4 linked regions of the Caenorhabditis elegans genome follow. The protein of the gene in region 1 interacts with the protein of each later gene in a pairwise test. Each region holds a gene or a part of one and is shown in the gene's direction. Other genes may lie near its edges.

The links.
Region 2: the proteins of gba-1 (region 1) and tab-1 interact in a two-hybrid assay, tested with the Caenorhabditis elegans proteins (one large-scale study listed by BioGRID).
Region 3: the proteins of gba-1 (region 1) and lon-2 interact in a two-hybrid assay, tested with the Caenorhabditis elegans proteins (one large-scale study listed by BioGRID).
Region 4: the proteins of gba-1 (region 1) and F56F10.2 interact in a two-hybrid assay, tested with the Caenorhabditis elegans proteins (one large-scale study listed by BioGRID).

The regions. Positions count from the first base shown.
Region 1 is NC_003280.10:2,174,813-2,182,752, forward strand, and holds gba-1 (Putative glucosylceramidase 1), read left to right. Parts: upstream 1-1,928; 5' UTR 1,929-2,134; coding exon 2,135-2,189; intron 2,190-2,239; coding exon 2,240-2,322; intron 2,323-2,924; coding exon 2,925-3,030; intron 3,031-3,223; coding exon 3,224-3,376; intron 3,377-3,723; coding exon 3,724-3,857; intron 3,858-3,905; coding exon 3,906-3,978; intron 3,979-4,544; coding exon 4,545-4,641; intron 4,642-4,690; coding exon 4,691-4,931; intron 4,932-5,459; coding exon 5,460-5,591; intron 5,592-5,641; coding exon 5,642-5,728; intron 5,729-5,857; coding exon 5,858-6,021; intron 6,022-6,777; coding exon 6,778-6,904; intron 6,905-6,953; coding exon 6,954-7,073; 3' UTR 7,074-7,698; downstream 7,699-7,940. Other genes in the region: C33C12.7 (AMP-binding_C domain-containing protein), read right to left, coding at 153-262, 311-403, 460-462; gba-2 (Putative glucosylceramidase 2), read right to left, coding at 7,706-7,937. UniProt on the Caenorhabditis elegans protein: Glucosylceramidase that catalyzes the hydrolysis of glucosylceramides into free ceramides and glucose. C.elegans contains specific sphingoid bases, which are unique or different in structure compared to the sphingoid bases found in other animals.
Region 2 is NC_003280.10:6,801,929-6,805,364, forward strand, and holds tab-1 (Homeobox domain-containing protein), read left to right. Parts: upstream 1-1,772; 5' UTR 1,773-1,829; coding exon 1,830-1,949; intron 1,950-2,266; coding exon 2,267-2,499; intron 2,500-2,544; coding exon 2,545-2,619; intron 2,620-2,667; coding exon 2,668-2,833; 3' UTR 2,834-2,935; downstream 2,936-3,436. Other genes in the region: F31E8.5 (DUF4091 domain-containing protein), read right to left, coding at 3,137-3,226, 3,273-3,404.
Region 3 is NC_003284.9:4,746,048-4,750,718, reverse strand, and holds the start of lon-2 (LONg), read left to right. Parts: upstream 1-1,635; 5' UTR 1,636-1,636; coding exon 1,637-1,750; intron 1,751-2,356; coding exon 2,357-2,486; intron 2,487-2,867; coding exon 2,868-3,016; intron 3,017-3,068; coding exon 3,069-3,268; intron 3,269-3,315; coding exon 3,316-3,480; intron 3,481-3,529; coding exon 3,530-3,653; intron 3,654-4,215; coding exon 4,216-4,398; intron 4,399-4,479; coding exon 4,480-4,586; intron 4,587-4,671.
Region 4 is NC_003284.9:857,875-862,985, forward strand, and holds F56F10.2 (F-box domain-containing protein), read left to right. Parts: upstream 1-1,740; 5' UTR 1,741-1,865; intron 1,866-2,059; 5' UTR 2,060-2,073; coding exon 2,074-2,136; intron 2,137-2,392; coding exon 2,393-2,463; intron 2,464-2,512; coding exon 2,513-2,678; intron 2,679-2,727; coding exon 2,728-2,868; intron 2,869-2,911; coding exon 2,912-3,001; intron 3,002-3,217; coding exon 3,218-3,382; intron 3,383-3,429; coding exon 3,430-3,538; intron 3,539-3,600; coding exon 3,601-3,682; intron 3,683-4,111; coding exon 4,112-4,261; intron 4,262-4,392; exon of another isoform or gene 4,393-4,460; coding exon 4,461-4,557; 3' UTR 4,558-4,587; downstream 4,588-5,111. Other genes in the region: cdo-1 (Cysteine dioxygenase 1), read right to left, coding at 4,609-4,698, 4,746-4,849, 4,955-5,106.

The DNA.
Region 1 (7,940 bases):
TCCGCATTTTTCGCGCTCCATTGGCAATGGAAAACGCCGCGACGCGACACGCGACGCGAGCTGTGGCCGAGCCAACATGGCCTAGAATATGAGAAAAGCCAGAAAATCTTCGTTTGAAACTAAAAAAGCGGGGAAAAAAATAAAAATCTCACTTTGATGCGGCAACAACACACAAGATGCTAGTTGTAGCTTTCTTGCTCTCGCATATTTTCTCAATACAAGCTACTCGGTCATGATGTGCCGCAATGTTTTCCGAGGCTTCCTGAAAAAATAGTATAAATATAAAATTAGAAAATATAATTCAACTTACATATCCATCCCCAAGAGTGATGATGCCCATATCTTTGGGAGGCTTACCACATGCAGTCTCCATTGCAATATGCACCAACTTCTCGTCGAACACCTTAAAAAATAAGGCTGAGGTTTAGAAACTATTTTCCCCTTCACTCATCAATTTACCATCCTTAAACTCTTTTTGAAAAATTTCGTTGGCTTTTTCAAGAAGGTCAGTATTCGCCATCTTCTTCGAATACGCACATGGAGCTGTAAATTATTCTTGTTTAGGAAAACAAGCCTGAACAAAAAAAAAACAAAAAACTTACCGGAAACCAGAAGGAAAACTCCAACCAGGCAGACGATGGTGTTCATTTTGATAGTTTGAACTGATTGTTTCGGAGGGAAATCGCTTCTTATATAGTGGGGTTTTTTGGTGAGGTGGCAGGGATTTTATGGGGTCACGGGAAACTGATCTGTTTTTCGAATTTTGGAAATTCAAATTTTTTTTTTTTAATTTAAAGTTTCACGCTTATGAATCAAAATTTATTTTAAAAAATTCCATTAGAAAATAAAATATGCGTGAATTTTCTTCATATTTTGAAATGTAAGAGTTTGCCGAATTAGGCCAGCTTGACTCAGCCACTGCCGGGGTAAATTTACGGCGCGTTGTGTGCCGCGTCGCGGCTTGGCTTCCCACGACTTTCCCACGTGTTATCCGGCGGCGATTATCAATGGAGCGCGAAAAAGAAGACCAGAAGGACATAATTTTCAAGCTGCGTTGCGGTCGCGTCGCGGCTCAAATTTCGAAGGCCATCAAATTGGAGAAATTTGCATCCAGTTTTCCAGTTTTAATAGTGCAATTTTTTCAAAATTATTGGATTTTATGACTTCCGACAAGTTTTTCAAAAAGTTTTAAGCATTTAATTTGAAATTATAGTAATTTTCCTCTACGACCCAAATCTCAGCGTCACGGCCCGAGAAGTGGTACCTGTACGCAATTTGTCTACCGTATACCTGGAAGTTTGGGCGCAAGTATCTCAAAAACGGTTGGTCCAGTTTTTTTGTGATGCATATAAAAAATGTCCGAAATTAAATTCTAAATTTTTTGGACCAAAGCTTTTTTCGTTATCACGCGCCCAAACCTGGTCTACACTCAAATTATCAGTAGAGCGCGTTTGCATGGATGTACCACTTGTCGGTCCGTGAGCGTAAAATTCAATGTTTTGGCGGTGTTTGCGTATTTTTGGCGCTACCGTAACCCTCGAATTGTAATTTTTGGAATTTAATGGTTACTGGGCTCACTTCTCATGCTTTTTGGTTTTTTCCCCTGAAAAATCAATAGTTTTCGGGTTTTTTGAGTGAAAATTCAAAATTGTAGAATTTCAGCCAAATTTCTGATTTTTAAGAAAATTGCTCAGATTTTTAAATATGTAATTTGGATTCTCCGTGTTTTTCTTAGTCTACAATAAAAATTTCAGCTCAAATTTCAAAAATCGCGTGAAATTTGGTGTTTGCGTACTTTTGGCGCTACCGTAACCCCTGAATTTTCACAATTGAGCTAGAAAGCTCTAATTTCAGGGGTCCTGCCTGGAATTTTGTGAGCAACTCGAATTTGAACTTGAAATTGTACAAAATCTCGCTTTGCACTCAGATTTTTCTTGCAAAAAAACTTTTGACATCAAAAATTTTACCTAATTATAATCATATTTTGTTCTATGTTCCAAAACTATCGTCACAATTTCCGTAAATTCCACCACGTGTTCTATGAACCGGGTACTGATAAGAAACACTGATAAACTTCATAAAAACGCCAAAACTACGAGACTTTAGTCGTCATTTTGTGCCATTTTTTCACAAAATGAAGTCACGATTTTTATTGAAAATCTTCATATTTTTAGCGGTTTTTGGAGTTGGTAGGTCGAATTTTTCAAGAACTACGACACTCCGAAATCCCGCTTTTCAGATAGTGTCCGGGCAGCTGATTGTACGGAAAAAACATTTAAAACCGGAACAGTATGCGTTTGTAGTCTCGATTCTTGCGATGAGGTGAGATTTGAAAAAAAAAACATTTTTGGAAAAAAAATTGAAAACCAAAATTGTTATGAAAATTTCATATAAATTTTTGAATTCTCCTCGCAATTACCGTTGATTTAACACCAATATCGGCCATATTTCATAAAATTTGAAATTTGAATTAGTTTCCCCTGCGGCGCGGTCGCGTCGCGGTCGGACTTGAAAATTTTAGAATTCTTGTAGAAACCAATGAATCAAGCAAGGATTTTTAGAAACTAAGTAAAATTGATTGAGATTATCCAAAAAGAATCTTTAAAACTGGTTAAAGGGGGTCTATAAAGTTTGACCGCGACGCAGCCGCGACGCATGACCAAAATTCAGTTTTTGTCTGAATATAGCCAATATGGGTGTCAAATCAAAGGAAATTTCACGGGAAACTCGAAAATCCCCATGAAAATGCATTTTAACCAGTCGCTTTTTTTTAATCTAAAATTTTCAAAAAATAAAAAAAGGTAATTTTCCAAAAGAAAATTTTTTCCCTTTTTTTTAATTTTAATTGTTACTTTAAGCCAAATCCGACACTTTCCTGAACCAAAATTTCACGAAAAATTCAAAAAATTGTATAAAAATTCCAGATTCCACCTCTGGACATCACTATGGGTCAGGCGGCACTCTACACCACCTCCCATACCGGCGCCCGGCTCCACAGGGATGTCATCTATGCGACGGATACTGAGCCATGTGAGTTGTGGAATTTTCAGCTGAAACAAGTTTGAAAAAAATTTTCGAAGCTTAAAAAATATTTTTGAAATTTTTTAGTTTTTGAATTTTTTTTTGTTCTTAAAATAAATTTTCCTTGTACCTAAAAAAATGTTCCTTTACTAATTTTTTACAAAAATTCTAATTTTTGAATTGAAAACCCTAAAATTTTCAGTCGGAACCCTGCACATGACAATTGACTCCTCCAAAAAATACCAGACGATCCAAGGATTTGGCTCCACATTTTCCGATGCTTCTGGTGCAAACCTGAAGAGTTTGCCGGACAAATTGTCGGATTTGATTATGAAACAATATTTTTCGGATACAGGTTAGCATTTTTTAAACAGCTTAAGCTGAAACTGGCCAATTGCAAAAAAGTTTAGGTTTTTAGGACCACTGAGAAAAAAGTTACGTCGATAGTTCAGTAGAGCGCAGTTGCAAATTTGGAAATTAAATTTTGAAATTAATTGCAATTGATAGATCACAATTTTCTCTACAGTTTTCTCTCTTACCCCAACTCTCTAGAACCGATTTGAAGAAAGTTATTCCAAAAGTTCAGTGGAGCGCACTTGCAACATCAAACAATTTTCAAATTAAGTATATGTCATTCGCTAGGAAATTTCAAATTCTACAACTTTCAGTATTGCAAGTGCGCTCCATTGAATTTTTTTCCAGGACTTAACCTCCAATTCGGTAGAGTTCCAATAGCCAGCACAGATTTTTCGGGTCGAGTTTACAGTTATAACGATGTCGCAAATGATTATTCAATGCAGAATTTTAATTTGACTAAGGAAGATTTCCAGTGGAAAGTGAGTTTATTTCAACGCAACTTTAAATTTACTCTTAAAAATTTTTAGATCCCATACATCAAAAACGCGCAGAAGTACAATCCGAACTTGAAGTTATTTGCAGCTCCGTGGGCAGCACCAGGTAATGTTTCTCACTAAGATTTTTGAATTTAGCACAAAATTTGCTGAGTTTTAAGCCCCATATTGACTATATTCGGTGCAAGTTGAATTTTTGGCCATGCGGCGCGGTCGCGTCGCGGCCCAGAAAATAAAGTGGAGCGTTAACTGATTAAAAATCAGGGTTTCCTGCTGTTTGGCAGTATTTAAATTTTTCTGTGTTAGATTAAACACAAGTTTGGCGCACTTTTGGTACAAATTTCGAAATTCTAATTCCGGACCGCGACGCGGCCGCACCGCATATCCTAAATTTAAAACTTTTCCAAATATAGTCAATATATCAAAATTCCGCGAATTTTACGGAGAATTCAAAAAATTTAGCTGCAAATCACATAATCGCTTCTAAACACACTTTTGAAAATTCGACCGCGACGCGACCGCAACGCATCTGCCTAATTTTCAAAGTTGTCCGATTATAGTCGAGATTGGTGTCAAATTAACGAAAATTTTGCGCTTAATTCGGAAATTTAAATGCCAACGCTCGAAAATTGTCTGTTTTTCCTAAGAAAAAAATTGTTTCAATAATTTCAGGATGGCTTAAGACTACTAAAGAAATGACAGGACCTGGGGCTCTTAACGGAAAAGCTGGGGATAACTATCATCAGGCATACGCCAAATATTTTGTCAGGTAATTCAACTATTTTCAGACTATATCAGAGTTTTTTTTCGAATTTCAGATTCCTCGAGGAGTACGGAAAATCTGGAATCTCATTCTGGGGACTTTCAACTCAAAACCAGCCAACATTAGGCTCCGATAAGAAGAATAAAATACAATCGACACTTTTCACAGCTGAAACACAACGAGATTTCATAAAAACTGACTTGGGACCAGCCCTGGCTGCTTCAAGTTCTGGAAAAGATGTGAAACTTCTGATTCTGGACGATAATCGAGGAAACTTGCCGAAATGGGCAGATACTGTAAGTTAATGTTGTCAAATTTGGAATCTCCGTACAATTTGCAAAGTTTTGACACCCATATTGACCTATTTTGGATCATTTTGAAATTTTGGACTTGCGGTGCGGTCGCGTCGCGGTCAAATTTTTTCATATCGAGCTGGGGCGAACTGTGACGTCTGGTACGCTTCCAAGACATTATAGATAATAATTTTGCAGCAACCAATTGTTTTTAACAACAATTTCGAGCGTTTTCAAAAATTGGTAGAATTTTTACCGCGACGCAACCGCACCGCATGCCACAAATTTCAAACTTGTCCGAATATAGCCGATATGGGTGTCAAATTTCAGCAAATTTCACGAAAAATTCAAATTTTCATGTTTTGAAAGCCCAAGGCTACGTTAAAACAAGTTTATGAAAACCTGACCGCGACGCGACCGCGCCGCAAGCCCTAAATTTCAAACTTATCCGAATAAAGTCGATATGGGGCTTAAAATTTTGCAAATTTTACGGAGAGTTCGAATTTCATACTCAAAATTCTCAATTTCCAGGTTCTAAACGACATGGACGCCGCAAAGTACGTGGGCGGTATCGGGGTTCACGCATATCAAGACGGAGAAACTGATAATCACTTGGATGAGACTCACAAAAAACATCCAAATTTTTTTATTTTAGGCACTGAGGTAAATTTTAGTTTTTAGGCAGAAAAATAAATTTAGGCCCAAAATTTCAGGCTTCCGAAGGCTACGGGTCCAAGGACACCCACGTGGATTATGGAAATTGGGATCGTGCAGCAGATACTGCTTCAGATATTTTAGATGTAAGAGAAAATATAGTTTTGAAGAAATTTCTAGAAAATTGGGGAAAAGTTCGGAAAAAAAATTTCAAAATTTTAATTTTTTTTTCAAATTTTTTTTTTCATAATTTTTTTTTCTACATTTTTTTCCAGAACATGAACAACTGGATGACTGGCTGGACAGAACGTAACCTAATCCTAGACGCCCTGGGTGGTCCATCATGGGTGTCCGACTACACAGATGCGCCGGTCATTGCGTTCCCAGCGATGGCTCAATTCTACAAGCAGCCCATGTTTTATGCGATTGCACATTTTAGGTAGGTTTCTATTAGTTTCTGCATGAAATAACTAAAATATTAGAATTTGTCGTTAAAATTGGATCTAGAAAATATAAAAATTGAAATTTTTTGGGAAATTTTTGTTGAAAATTTTCTAAAACTGTCTGAAAAGCAGCTTAACACGCAATTTTCCAAGTTTTCAAACAGAAATTCGAATTTCTCGTATAATTTTAGTTTTGAAATCAAAAACTAGAAGTTTCTAGCTCGATTTTGAGATTTCGAGGGTTACTGTAGCTCCAAAAGTACGCAAACACCGACTACAGTACCCCAAAACACCGCATTTCACGCAATTTTCGAATTTTGAACTAAAAATTCACAGATATACTAAGAAAATAGTGGAGAATTTGAATTTGATATTAAAAATGCTGAGAATTGTTTTGGAACCTAACCAAAACGACAAAAACATCTGAATATCGATGAAATTCTGAAATTTTTTGAGTTTTTGAGCTCAAATACGAGTTTCCTGCAAAATTTTAGATTGAGTCTCAAAAACTAGATCTTTCTAGCTCAATTTTGAAAATTCCCGGGTTACTGTAGCTCCAAAAGTACGCAAACACCGACTACGGTACCCCAAAACACCGAACTTGGCGCAATTTTCGAAACTTGAGCTAAAAATTCAGAATCAGACTAATTGAAGTACGGAGAATTTGAATTTCAAACTGTAAATTTTCAGAAAAAATTTCTACCATCTAAAAATTCACGAAAACACTGGATTTCGCAATAACTAATTTTCAGTCACTTCATCAAGCCTGGAGCAGTAAGAATCGACCACTCATTAAATGTAATTGAGCTGGAAGTTGAAACCACCGCATTTTTGAATCCTGATGGCTCAAAAGTTATTGTAATGCTCAATAAGGGCTCGGTTTGTGCTGAAAGTCCAACTTTTCAGCCGAAAATTTCTAAATTTTCAGCTAGTCTCAACGGAGCACACAGTAGTTGTCCAGGATGCTGCTGATAGCCGTAATCACTATCATTTTACACTTCCACATCGAGCTATTACCACTTTGTATATTCAAACTTCACAGTTTTAGTGGATTTTTCGACAAAAATTGCTTATTAAATAAGTTTTCATGTTGATTGTTGGATTTTTCATAAAATTTGCGTCAATTTGACCCCCATATTGACATGTTTTGAAGCAGTTTGAAATTTTGGTGGTTTTTGGGACGCGGCGCGGTCGCGTCGCGGTCCAGACTAAAAAGTCGCTAGATAAAAAGTTTTCCACGTTTTTAGAGGATGTCTGTTCGAATAATTTAAGTTTCAAGCTATTTTGCATCACTTTGACACCTGCAATGCTATGATTTGAGGCAATATAAAACTTAAATTTTTGAAAGCGGCGCGGTCGCGTCGCGGTCGAAAATCGAAAACTCATCTTACCTATAGTTTTAAACTTTTTTATGCATGTTTTCGAATTTTTCTAAAAATTTCCATCCATTTAACACCCATATTGGCATGTATTAAACAATTTTTAAATTTTAGTAGTTTTGGACCGCGATGCGACCGCGCCGCGGGGCTCAAATTTCAAAGTGAACCGATTCTAGTCGATATGGGGCTTAAAATTTCAGAAATTGAATGAATAATTCAAATTTTTACACTAAAAGTTCAGGTTTCAACACGATTTTTTAAATTTTTCAAAAATAAAATTTTAAAAAATTGATATTTTATTCTAATTTTGAATATACAACGTAACAATTGTTTTAGGTGATAAATGAACTTGATAATGATCAGTAGACTTCATAGTATCCTTAATTGATAAACTATATGGTGCCAAAGGATTTTTATTATGGAGCACCACGACTTTTGAGCCATCCGGATTCAAAAATGCACTTCGTTCAATTTCTGGGTTTGGCATGTTCAGTGAATGGTCGATTCGAACTGCTCCGGGCTTCAGAAAATGACTG
Region 2 (3,436 bases), 4.6 Mb from region 1:
AGAATTTGCTTTTTGAAAATTTGAATCTGAATTTTTCAAATGTTTAATAACTATTTTCTTCTACTTTCTGAAAAATCTCCTTTGCTTAAAATCCTTCATTAATTGCAGAATTCTCTTCTCACTAATTTGCAAAACATCTTCTCATCAAATCTTGTTTTCCACTAAAATCACACAGATTTTCGTAAGAATAATGAGCGCGTTTTCAATGATGAGCTATATACCGACAAAACAGCATGCCAATTGTGATGAAATAGAAGCTTCAATACAACGACTACTTCTTCTACGGTAGTGAAATCCGCTAACTAATTGGGAATAATTGCTGTATTGCATATGCATAAGTTTTTGTATTAACACCACGAGTATGAGGGAGGAGTGATGATGAAGTAATTCTTCTGGAACTATGTTACATTGGAGCTCACCACAGGACACCTTTTTGCGGTGACTCAAGAAACAATAGAGCAAGTCATGAGGTGTCAAATGTTCAAAGTACCCATAGAGCCAGTTATAATTAAGTGTGACATGTAAACGGAAGGAACTTTTCTTAATATTCTTTGTCTTGTATTTGATGACGTGGCAACAATATTTTGCACAGCAGGTCTTACTCCTCTTGTTGCTAATAAGTTTGTGTGAGTATGTCTACTCAACATAATAAGTTAAAAGCCTTCTAGCGCTTCTGCCGTCTATAATGCAATAATAGTCTTCGTTACTCGATGCTCAATTTCTTCGTTTAGTCAGGTCAGCCAGTCGTCTTTCCCTATTTTCTCTCCAAGCTTTAAAACGTTTGAAGGGGTACAGTGATATGCACAAAAAATGCACAAGTTGTTGGGGAAGTGGTGAACATCTGTGGAAAGGTTCAAATTGCTCAGTTGCACAATGACTATTACTAGACGCGTGTCGCTCTCAACACGTTCACACTTGTTATTGTTATTGTACTGGCTCAATCGCATTGTATTGTAACATAAACACGTAATTAGAGGGAGATGATGAGCATGAGAGGTCGAATTGTGCCAAAAGTGGAAAACGGCTGTAAGTAGGCTTTTCATGTAGGCACAAACACTGCCTGTGGCCTTTGTCTACCACAAAAGTACTGAAAGGTGCGTAGTAGGCATGCCTGAATAAGTACAAAATTTTAAGAATAAGTACAAGACTTACATCGTTAGTGAATTTGAAGAGTTTGCAAAATCAAAATTATTTTGTCAATCAAGTTAATACTTCTAGAGTATTTGGCCAAGAATCTTTTGTAGACCATTTGAAAATTTTCAGAAATTGAGTTGATTGCTAAGCTTTTCCAATTTCTTGATGAGATATTTGAGGTTTGAAAACATTATGTAAATTACGTTTTGTTTTTATTGGAATTTTAATTTCACCTATATGCTAGATATACTATTCCAGATCATCAAAACTGGCAAGAAAAGAAGACTCCAGACCATATACAAAAAATGAACACGTCATCATAATACACGACTGATCGAAAATGACACAACTGATTAGTTTCAATATTTTATTCTAGTACTGAACATTACGAGACAATCAATTTCCATATTTTGCTCATCGTCACTTAAGTGGTTGTTTATTCTTTCATCAACCGCCTACAATATTGCCTACGGCAATACTGTCATTCACAATCATTATCCCTCTCATCAACTCTTTTTTCTTCTTCTCCTTGTCGTCTTTCACGGGACCTTCATCTCTATTCGCCGACTCCGCCCCCTTCCGATGCCGTCTGAAGCTCCACCCATTGTGCTCCTATGGGAGCACCATATTACCGTGTTAGCTCATTTACACGAGAATCTTACCTCCCGTAAAATAATCTTCAAACTTATTTGAAAATGATAACTCCTGTATCAAGTTTTTCAATTGATGATCTTCTTCGTGGGCATTCAAACGAAATTCAAAGAATTCTGAAGCTTGATCAAACATCGCCCACTCCCCAATCAAGTTCAGATGAGGTATGTTCTTAAACTATTTTTCTCGTTTGGGTTTTGTAGTCACCATAGGCACTCTGCAAATATTTAAACAAACATATCAGGAATGTATTTCGCTCAATTATCAAAATTGAATTTAAATATAATTTTTCCGTTTTTTTTGGCCTTTGGTCAATGATTTCTTTAAAATTGATTCAAAATAAGTCGCAACTTCATTAAAAAATATTTTGTTTCCTTGATGTGATGCTTGTTCTTTCACAATTACTTAAATTCAACAAGTAATATTTCAATAAAATATGTAAATTTGATCATCAAAAATTACTCTATCGGTTTACTTCCAGGGATCAGAAAAATCATCGATATCCGTAATGTCAGTTCCATTGACAAATGAATTAACTCCCACAATCACTCCTGCTCTTTCTGATCAGCTTTGGCTTGCAGCAGCAGCGTTTCCAATAGAACATAGTCTCTTGTTGGCTCAACGAAATGGAGTTTTTCCTGGATTCTGGTCAACAGCTGATCAGATTCGATTGTCAAATGCAACTAAAGCGTATAGAAGATTGAGGTTGGAATGGTAATGATTGAAATTTATCAAATATAATTATTCTTCTGTTTTCAGTTCGCGAAGAAAAGCAAGAACAGTGTTCAGTGATCAGCAACTACAAGGATTGGAACGAAGATTTGAATCCCAAAGGTGACCAAAAATGCATTCCGAGTTTAGTATTCTAAATCAGACTTTCAGATATCTGAGTACTCCTGAGAGAATTGAATTGGCAAATGCTCTCAATTTGAGTGAAACTCAAGTTAAAACATGGTTTCAAAACCGACGAATGAAGCACAAGAAAGTTGTCAGAAAAGATGATAATAGTGTGGATGACGACAATGGAAATGATAATGAGAGCGAATAAGTATATATATATTTACCGGTAGATTGTCTTTTCTCTATGAATATTTATTTAAAGAATATTGATGTATTATATTATTGCATGTCCAAATAAAGTCAAATTTCTAACAGATATTTTATTACCAACTTATATTTATGATTATGAGGAATAAGTCATGGGGTATTACTTTAATTATATTTATCTCACATCTTATAATTCAATTTTGAACTTTTTGATTTGCCAATTGCCCATCAGTCCTCAAAAAAACGAAACTTTGAAAAATGGTTGTTAAATTATTTTATTCCAAATCATAATACAATAGGACACTTATTCATCGAAGAAGTTGAATGTACATTTTCCGATTTCCCACATATTAGTTGGAACTGCAGCATTGTAGTCATTCCACAACAAAGTACGCTGAAGATTTTTAAGTTAAGCTTGAATAAAACAAAACGTTTGTTACCGTATCCATTTCAATATCACAACCAGGTGCCTTGATAACATGAATATTGAATGATGTGCTCTCTGTAACTGGAAGCTTGAATTGATCCTGATAGATTGGATTTCCTTGCATTTCTCCGAACACCATGTCAACCTAAAAACTATGAAATTGAAGATTTATATTTG
Region 3 (4,671 bases), on another chromosome or scaffold:
ATATATTGCTCTCGACTGCTCCAATAATTTGTAAAAACTTTATTCGAATGTAGAGAGACTATATTTTAATAGTGGCTCATTCAGTTTTTGGATCACATCGTTTTTTTTAAAGGAGAAATGGTTCCATTCTAAGCGCTGGAAAAATGCACGTCTGTAAAGTATTGAGGATAATGTATATTGCTCACTTAATAACTTGACCTCAGAATGAAAACAAAAGTACATCAAATTTTCAACCGGCACATCTTTTCATTGACCTTGTGACAGTCAAAAAATTTTCGAAATTGAACTTGTCAAATAGAAAAGCGGAAGCGAGAGTCTCGTGTTCAATGAGTAGAGACATTTCTCATTTTCCTGAAATGTTCGCCCTGCCAAGGCGATCAATCTCCCGTGTGTTCACCAGCTGTGCACTAACCATCGTTTCATTTTTTTGTTCTTGTTCGCTTAGTTTTTCTCCTCCAAATTCTCACCTACCACATTCCATTGTTTTACAACTTAGGTGTGGTGTCTAGGCTCGGTAAGGGTCGGTGGGCGTGAAACGTTACGATTTAACGTTATCAAAATTGTTAGGTATTGCGGGAAAAACAATAATTGTTTGATCCAAGTAGAAGTTTCCAGACAGCTTTTTACGAACTTTGAGTGGCATTAAGCCATCAGCCGATCATCAAATTTTTGCGTAACTTCAAAAAAAGTATTAAGTTCTTCCCAGTTTATACCGTTTTTATCCATTATTTTCTGAATCCAATCAAAAATATAATGGTCAATGTTTTATAAGCCTACATACACAATAGTTCTGGCCGTATTCTGCCTAATAATCTAAAATCTCCTCGCCCGCATCCTTCTGTCACATTTTGATTTCTTAATCTCTGATATTTTTTAATGCTGGACTATTATTACTGTATTTTGAAAAATTACCACTTTCAATACATTCAATCTTTCAGTTTTGCACACCATTAGTCTAATTGACAACCTGGTTATTTTCACCGATAGCACTGCAAAACTACAAAATAACAAATAAAAACAATTTGCCAGCTAACCTAGAAACGAACTCTTAAAAATGGAGTAGTTGGGTGCAAAACTAAGAAACAAACAATAAAAGATATTTCAAAAACAAAAAGTTTAATTTTCCATATTCCCATAGTTTGTTAGATCGCTGTCTCACCGCAAATTTCACTTTTCTCACCAATGCGTTCTTCCTCCACCTCTTGTGCAACACATTGTCACCCTCTCTCTTCAAAAATGGCAAACTGATTGTCACGTTCTCGCACCCCGAGGTCTTTATCCACCCCGCCACCTATTCCTCTTCGGTGACCGCCCACTTCTTCCATCCGGTGAGCCCTTCATTTTTTCGATTCCTCCCCATCTTGCAATCAGTTGTTCAGAGAGCGACAAGTGATGGGGGGAAACAGATAGATACAGACTATGACATAACTTGTGCTCCGTACTTGCTGATAACTTTATTTGTCGATCAAACGCTTCTACACACTCACACCGTCTCTCCAACCTTGAACACTATTTTTTTGCGGAATTTCTTTTATATTTTTGCAGCAACTTTGCAATTTCTCTTGCTTAACTTAACGACTCACCTGTCTTCATTTTTCACACTTGAGGTGTTCGCTTACATATTCAAAATTTCAGAATGGTCTTCCGGTGGCTCATTCTTTTTGTATTGCTCTACCGGTCCGTCCTACCTGCAGAAGAAGTGGTGGTTGTCGATATTCTCACCAACTCTACAAGTCTTGAAGAACCCACAGTGAGTTTTATCTTCCTCGTTTTTCTATCCGTCCTCAATCTCCAACATGCCGAAATATAAATCTATGTCAGCTAATGACCGACATTTATCAACAGAGTTTATCTAAGCAGGCGGACCCTTTCTATCTGTTGAGTCATCTCACATTCAGTTTTGACACTTTGAAATTTGTTAGGTAACATGAGAAACATAAACATCAACAATTTGATAGGACAAAAAACGTTTTCGATAAGATACTGTATCTAGAGTTGGAACTGTGGTAAAACACTTGGAACCAAAACAAAAAAAACATAAATCTTTTTGTCATGCCATTTTTGGAAAGTCGTAAATTTCAATTACACACGCGGCTTCTTTTTCGATCGCTTCCGTAAGTTGATTGATAACTGGCAGTGGTGAAATATATGTGTGATAATTAACGATGACCACAGCCGAAAATAAAGGAAATTCATTTTGATTTAGTAGTATTTAAGATGACAGGTGTTGAAAAATCAGAAATGGTATAAAGCGAAAACAGTTTCAATTCGCTGATTATATTAGATTTATGGTTGAGTAACTAAAAAGAGAGAGTTGAGAATTTTTGGAATAATATTCAATATTTTAAATTTTTAGGAAGAATATACATGCGACTGCAATACAGATGACTTGATACAAAAGGGAAACTATACCCTCACTGTGGAAGTGAAAAACATGCAAGTGAGGCTAGTAGAACCATTTCGCGATGCAATTGCTTTTACGACAGGTGAGTTAAAAATATTTGGGAGGGGGGGGGGGATCATAGAAAAACGTTTTTGTAATTTTTTTAAATTTACAGTAACAAAGTTTGCTGGAAGTGTACCAACAATAATTTACTACGAGATTTAAAGTGTGGTTTACTTAAATTTACTTAAATTAAAACCCTCTAGGGGTTCAAACAAAGGGCAGATTAAACTAAAAGTTGAGCGTTCGGTATCTTTGGCCTGCTAAAACGGTCAAAAACAATTGTTTTGAATAATTTGGCAACATACCAAAACTTTGACCGAACAGTTTGAAAAATTTCAAAAAATTTTTAAATTTCTATTAATGTATAACATTACTTCTTCCGAAAATAGTAGTGAGAAATTATTTTTTTTCCATTTTGCAGGCGAAAAGAAGCATCTACTAGATTTTATACGATTTGTCACATTACGAGAAGTTCGGTCCACGTACCCATTACTTTTGAACTACACCGACTTTTTAAACTCATTCGATGAGATGATTGGAACGTTCAGGAATATTTTAACGACAGAAAACGTAAGAAACAGATAGTAATACAAATAATCTAGGTATATCTTCTCCTTTGTAGGCGATTTCCTTGACTGGAATCAAGTATGAAGTCTCTACTGCGGTGCAAAAGTTCTTGAGTGCAATTCTTCCTGATATGTTCCTCTGTTTGTCAGTGGGAAAGTGTCGAACAGTTCCATTGGACTATCACAATTGTATGATGGCTAGTACAAAACACTGGTCGGTCTATTTAGGGAATACTCCTAATAAAATGGCTATGACGTAAGATTTGAATTGTTTAAAATAAAGTTTCATGTTTTTACATTTAGAATTTCTGAAGCCATATACCGGTATCGAAAGGTTGAATTTCTACTCGTTGACATGCACAAGCAACTTATGAACGCTCACAATTTAACACTTTCCCATGAGTGTCTTCAAGAATACGTGCATACATTGCCATGCAATTGCACAATGGCTGGAATCACACCTTGCCAGTAAGATAACATTTTAATTGAAATAATCTTACTTTGATGTTTTCTTTAGCACTTCTTGTTCAAACTCAATGGAAAAATGCTTTGGGAAATTTTCTCGAGAGTGGGCAGCCAAATTGCATCTGATGAGGAATATGACGAGTACGAAGAAGTCTTTTTTGGATGAGTTTTTATCAGTAAGTTTTTAATTATTGTTTAATTTTCTAAAAGTGTGACAAAAACATTTTTAAGAAATGATATGAAGAAGCGTATATTTAGATAAAAATATTTAAAATGTTATTTAAAAAAATGTTTTGTGGCCGACATCTAAAATTATGATAGTTGACATCGGAATTGTCAATACTTTTTCAAAATTTTTAGAATGATATTTGTACATTTTAGCACTGTATTCAGTTTCAAGCAACTCTTCCACTGACGATACCACATCTTTAAAATTAAAAAAATAAAATCAACCCAAATTGTAATTCATAATTGTAAATTCTTTTGTTCAAATAAAAAAAACTATATTAGCAAATATCTTATATCTTATTTAAATATCTGCTCGAATAAAAATCATTTTTTGAAGAAAAAACATAACGAGACAATTTGAATTTTGCAATAAATTATTTATATATTATTTATTTCAGTTTTTGAATTTTCTGAACATCATTAATCATTACTATAATGACATCTTGTTTCAAATAATCACGTTTTTATTTTATCCGACCCCTTTCCTCATGATTTTATCTATTCTTGCAGCTCAAGAAAACCATCTTCTCTGTAATTCGAATTTTCATCGAACGCAAGTCATATGTCTACGCGGAGCACGTGTTCAACTCGTGCGGTCCGCTTGGCGAGATGATCATTCATCCATCAAAGCACTCTGTTCACTTTCAGTCGCCAGGACCGTTCGTTTCCCGAGGAGACGGAGCCGTGAGAGAGGTCAGTTTCTGTTGTCGGCGTGCTCTTTGTGCATCGCGCACCAATTGCATAATGATAACAATCATCATTCAATTTTTACAGCTTCAACTTTCTGCAAAAACGTGGGACCGACTCGGAAGGAAAATCTGTGATCACTCGGGAGTTGTTCTGAATCCGACAATGTGTTATGATGGTACAAAAGTCATTTCGTAAGTACTGTTTTTGTAACACAACACATGCAGCTGTTGGGATAAAGGGAGTGCATGGTCTTGGTGTGTGCAAACATGCGGGTCA
Region 4 (5,111 bases), on another chromosome or scaffold:
CAAGGAGTCCCTCTCTCTCCGGGTGGGAAGTGCGGGAGCCCCCCTCCCGTCCCTCAAGGTAGTCTCGTAAAACAATGTGACTAAAGCTGATGAGCAAACACAAATGACCATCTCCTTTGCCTCATCCTTCGCCACTTCTTCGACGATTTCGCGAAACAATAAACACGCCTCCGATGCACGAATTGACTCTCAAAATGTGGAACTGTCGTTGCCTCCTTCACTCCTCCCCAATTGCGCCTCTTTAGCGGTTCGTTTGTCGAGAAGGGACGTGTTGATGGGAAAAACACGAACTTTTTTCAAGTACTGATAACACTATGACCGGCTACCGATGTGCTCATCATAGAGCACATGATGTGATGGGGAAAAACAGGGAAACACGAATAAAAATAGAGTTGCTTTGCATTGGCATATTTGTGACTTGTTTTCCTTCATAATGGTCTGCCATATAGAGGTACCGAAAAAATGAATGCCATGACAGCTGTTTAAAACTCTGTACAAGGGCTGTGCGGCAACCGGCAACCGATAGTTGCGGGATGCCAAACATTTTAACGTTCGGCAACTCCGGCAATTGCCTCGCACCCCTGCTTTGCACCGCCAATTGTGCGATTCTTTCTTGAGCGTACCTCAAGTTGTTTCAGGCCTGAAAACCGGAATGACTGCAAATCTGGAATAAAACTCCTGGTGTGCAATTTTAAGTTAACGGACAGAAACCATACAATTCGAGAAACTCTGTTTTGTGCTTAGACGATTCTCTTGCGGGATGAGTCTAATTATATTTATTGATTTTTTTCTTCTCAATAAATGAACATATAACTAGCCAGAATTTTCAATTTTCGCCTAGTTGTCACTAAAAGCCTAGAAGATGGTTGGTTATCCTATTTTTTTTCTGAAATCTGTGACATCACACTACAATCTGCAATAATTTTCTAGGAAGTTAATAAGTTATATTGCTTAAAGATTGGCGTGATCGTAATGACTGATAATTTTTTTGGAAAAACTTTTTTTTTTGAAAAACAAATTTTTGATGATTACATGTATAAAACTCTACAAAATGTAAAGCTTGAAATATTCCAAAAAAAAAAATAATAGAGCCAGCTAATTTTTGAGGGTAAATTCCAAAGAACTGAAATTGAATTTCTAAAAAAGTAGTATTTTTTTAAATTTCCATTCGTCTGAAAAGGTGAAGTGAAGTCGAGTTGTGATATCCCAAAATAACTGTTAAAAAATCAAATAAAATTCTCTAAATTATTTCTGAGTTTTCAATTTTGCACAACACACAATTAAAATCTGGCGGATTAGTATTTAAATTCTAGCGCAGAATGATTGGCCTAGTTTTGACATTTCCGCGTTTTCCTGAAATCGGCGATTTTTGATTTGTCAACTTTTCCACAAAAAAAATTATAAATGAATGTGAAAATTACCTTGTTTATTTTTGATAAATTGGGGAAAAATGAATAATTTTTTTAAAAACTTTAAATTTTTCAATGCGACCTTTTTTTAAAATGTTTCCTGTTCAATTCAAATGATTTCATATAACTTCTTTTTTTAACCCTTCCGCTCAACATTATTAAACCCAAATAAACTTTTGTTTGCCACAAGATTGCAAGATATCTGCCTTTGAATTTGCCATTTTTCGCAATCTTGAATGCAACACAATTGTAACACAATACTCATGTAAACGCAACAGATTGCATGAATAGTGGAGACACAGACATAAGGGAGCTTCTCCGGCTTCTTTCGCATCGATTGACGAAGAGAGGCTCACTTGTGCTCAGCTCTTTAATGTTCCCGTGTTTTGCTGTTTGACTGGAGATTCTTTTGGGAATTAGTTTTTCTGCAAAGCAGACCGAAACGGTGGAGGAACGGTGAGAGTTTGTTTTAAGTCTAGGAAAAAGTATGAGTTTATAATTTTTTTTTAATGAAGTTAAAAAAAAACTATATTGTAAAAGGAATTTTACTGACAGCCCGTTAAGAAAAAATACAAAAAATTAAAACGCTTATTTTCTGATGTAAAAATAGAAAAAACAATTTTCCCATTAATCCTTATTCCTAAATTCAGGTAACGCTTTCTACATGATAAGCGTCACCGTCGCTGCTCAAGGGAAGCCGAAACGATTATTTGGAGGAAATTTCAGAGTAAGTCATTCTAAACAGTGAAAATATGCAAATTATTTGAATTTTTCAAATCAGAGATTTATATTATAACATTCCAAGATTTATGACACAAACATCCATAATCGTAAAACACTCGAAAAATTGAAATTTGAGTTTTAAATACCATATTTTGATAAACGGTCAAGATAAGGGCGAAGCAAGCAACATTAAAAAAAAACAGGCTCCGCTTAAGATTTCGGATTTTCAATTAATTCCCACAGACTAGTCAAATTTTCAGGCATACGGCAGCGGTCGCCTTTCAATATGTGAACTAGAAAAAGACCCAAACGCCTTGAAAAGCGATGAAAAGTAAGCTCTCCTTTATCCTTCTGTTCCAATAATAATTATCACATTCCAGAAAATTCTCATCTTCAACGGTCAAGGTTTTCTTATTTGTGAACAAACTTTTCGAGCTGCTCACAACAATTCTTCATTATTGCATGCCGTACTTGTTCACACAGAAACAGCAGTGGTATCGTCCAGCTGTGCAAAAAGAGGAAATAATTGTAGAGCCGATTGCTCAGGTATTTTTTTAATTAAAATATCAATACCAATAATTAAAACTTTTCATAGGATTTTGAAAGCCACATTCTGGCAGATGTATTCAAGTATTTGGATATTGATGACCTGTTGAATTGTAAATTGGTATGCTGGAAATGGAACGCTACAATTGGAGAAAATGCGTCCGAACTTGCTAGAACCAGAACTGACCAGGTTTTTTTAAAGTTTATAAGCTTAAACATTATACATTTTCCAGATAAGAATTTTGTTCGATGAAGGCGAAGTTGTGGTATATCCAATTGACGAAAAGAGATGTCCAGTCAGGCATCCGCTTCCACCATTACAGGTAATTCAATTGTCTGTACGTATTGGATTCAGAAAACTTTCAAGCATTGCGCAAAAATTTCATAATTTTATCCCAAAAATCCTAAAATTTGAAAGTTGAAACATATTGTAATAACAGGTTGTTTTGTAAACACGAAATGAATAGCTGTACTCATCAGAAAAAGTTACCCGTCTGCTAAAAAAGTCTCACTATTTCAAATTTGAATCCGTATTCCAGGTTCTCCGAAACCGGCTGCGCCATTTAACCACACAATCTTTATTTGTCCGTGGCTTGATTCCGGTGGAATCCGGCCCAGTTTTACGGTTACTTTTAAGCTTGACACTTCAACCACAACAAATGTATTTTATCTGGAGCAAGTTTTCAGCTGATTCCATATTTTTGGTTTGTATATTTTAAAGTTAATTTTTTTAAAATTTAAACATTTTCAGTTTGAAGAACTGGTAAAACAAAACTCAGATACTGTAACAGACTTTGGACTAGAGGAATGTTCCCCTTCACATCTACTCACTGATCGTCTTCTCTCGCCAATTCTGAAAAGTTAGTTGCAAATTATATTTTTTCACAAAAAACACATTTTAAAAAATCAATAATGCATTTAGATTTAACATCTCTCCGTTTGTGGAACAACGGGAAAGGATCACATTATGGTGTGACGGATGACACGCTAATTCGAATCAACGAGTAAGTCTTTGATGTTTCTGCAAAAGAAAAATTTGACCAAATTAGATGTTCACAGTGATCACTTTTATCATATTACCTAAACGACCATAACAATCGAAATGACAGAAATGACAGAAGATGTCAATTTGATTTTTCGCATTGAAAATACCTTGTTCATAGCTTGCAATAAATTTAACGCGTTGACCACATCATCACCTTTGAAAAATAAACTTGAGGACAAAGTCTCATAAATAACTAAAATTGTTTTTTGGTAATGCGGTATTTAAAACAATTATTGTGCTAGCCAACAACTTGTAATGTCCTGATAAAGAAAATTAGCGCACCGATCAAACTTTGTAATGCACTGAAAACTTTGACCCTGACCAGATTTTTCCACAAAATTCAATATACCAGATTTTTTACGAGATATCAAAATTTATAACTTTGCAGCGCAATTCTAAATGGATCTCCAGTGGAAACCATTGATCTAGGCACATGCTTCCTATCAAGTGAAGCTGTATCCCAAATTGTGCAAAGCTGGGAGCAAACTTCAACCAGCGACTTGACCATCATGTTGAGTCATTGTTATCCGGTCAACAAGTGAGTAAACACTCCATTTTTTTCGGTTTTAATTGTTCTAATGAGTACTTTTCACTTTGCAAGAAGTGTCTTTTGTTTCAATTTTCTTTGAGACTTCCTTGTTTTACGCGGTTTGAAAAAGTTTAAAAAAATACCACCGAAATAATTCATTGCAACAAAATCACACAATTTTTCAAGATCACAGTTATATTTTTTGCAGACCGGATGTGATCCGACTTCTACAGGATCGTAATATCACACTGAAGAAAAATCAACAATTACATTCCAAGAACCATATGCTGACACTTGTCTGTTAATGAAGATTATAATAAAGAATCAACACGTTATTACATTGAGGGATATGTTGTTTAATTGCCATTCTTAGATCCTCTGTAGTCAACTTTCTTGCCGTACTTTGAGTAGAATGTGACGGTGCATTGCGTTTTCTTTCCGGTTCTCTGAAATATATTCAAAAAATATTAAAAGCCTTCGCCGATTGACTAACCTCATCGAATGCATTGCAAGTACTATATGGAGGGATGTACAAGTGAAGAGAGACAGCTCCGTTTGAGTGACTCAAATTTTCCATTCTATGAAGACCAAGCTCATCTGAAAAATTGCAATGAAGTTGTTATTATGTTCCTAGCATTGTTTTCAAGTTTAGGCAACCATGTTGTAAAAGACAGATGCATTAAGTGTTTTCAAATATCTTACCATTCATATAGGAAACTCCATTCATTCCATAAGTCTTATTTTCTGAAATATCAAGTGGCACGTGTCGTTTTCTTGGCCAGGCATATTTGGTCTCAGTGAGCTCTCCATCAAGAATTTTCACAAAGCAATGAGCATCAGTATGATCGTGAACACTAAA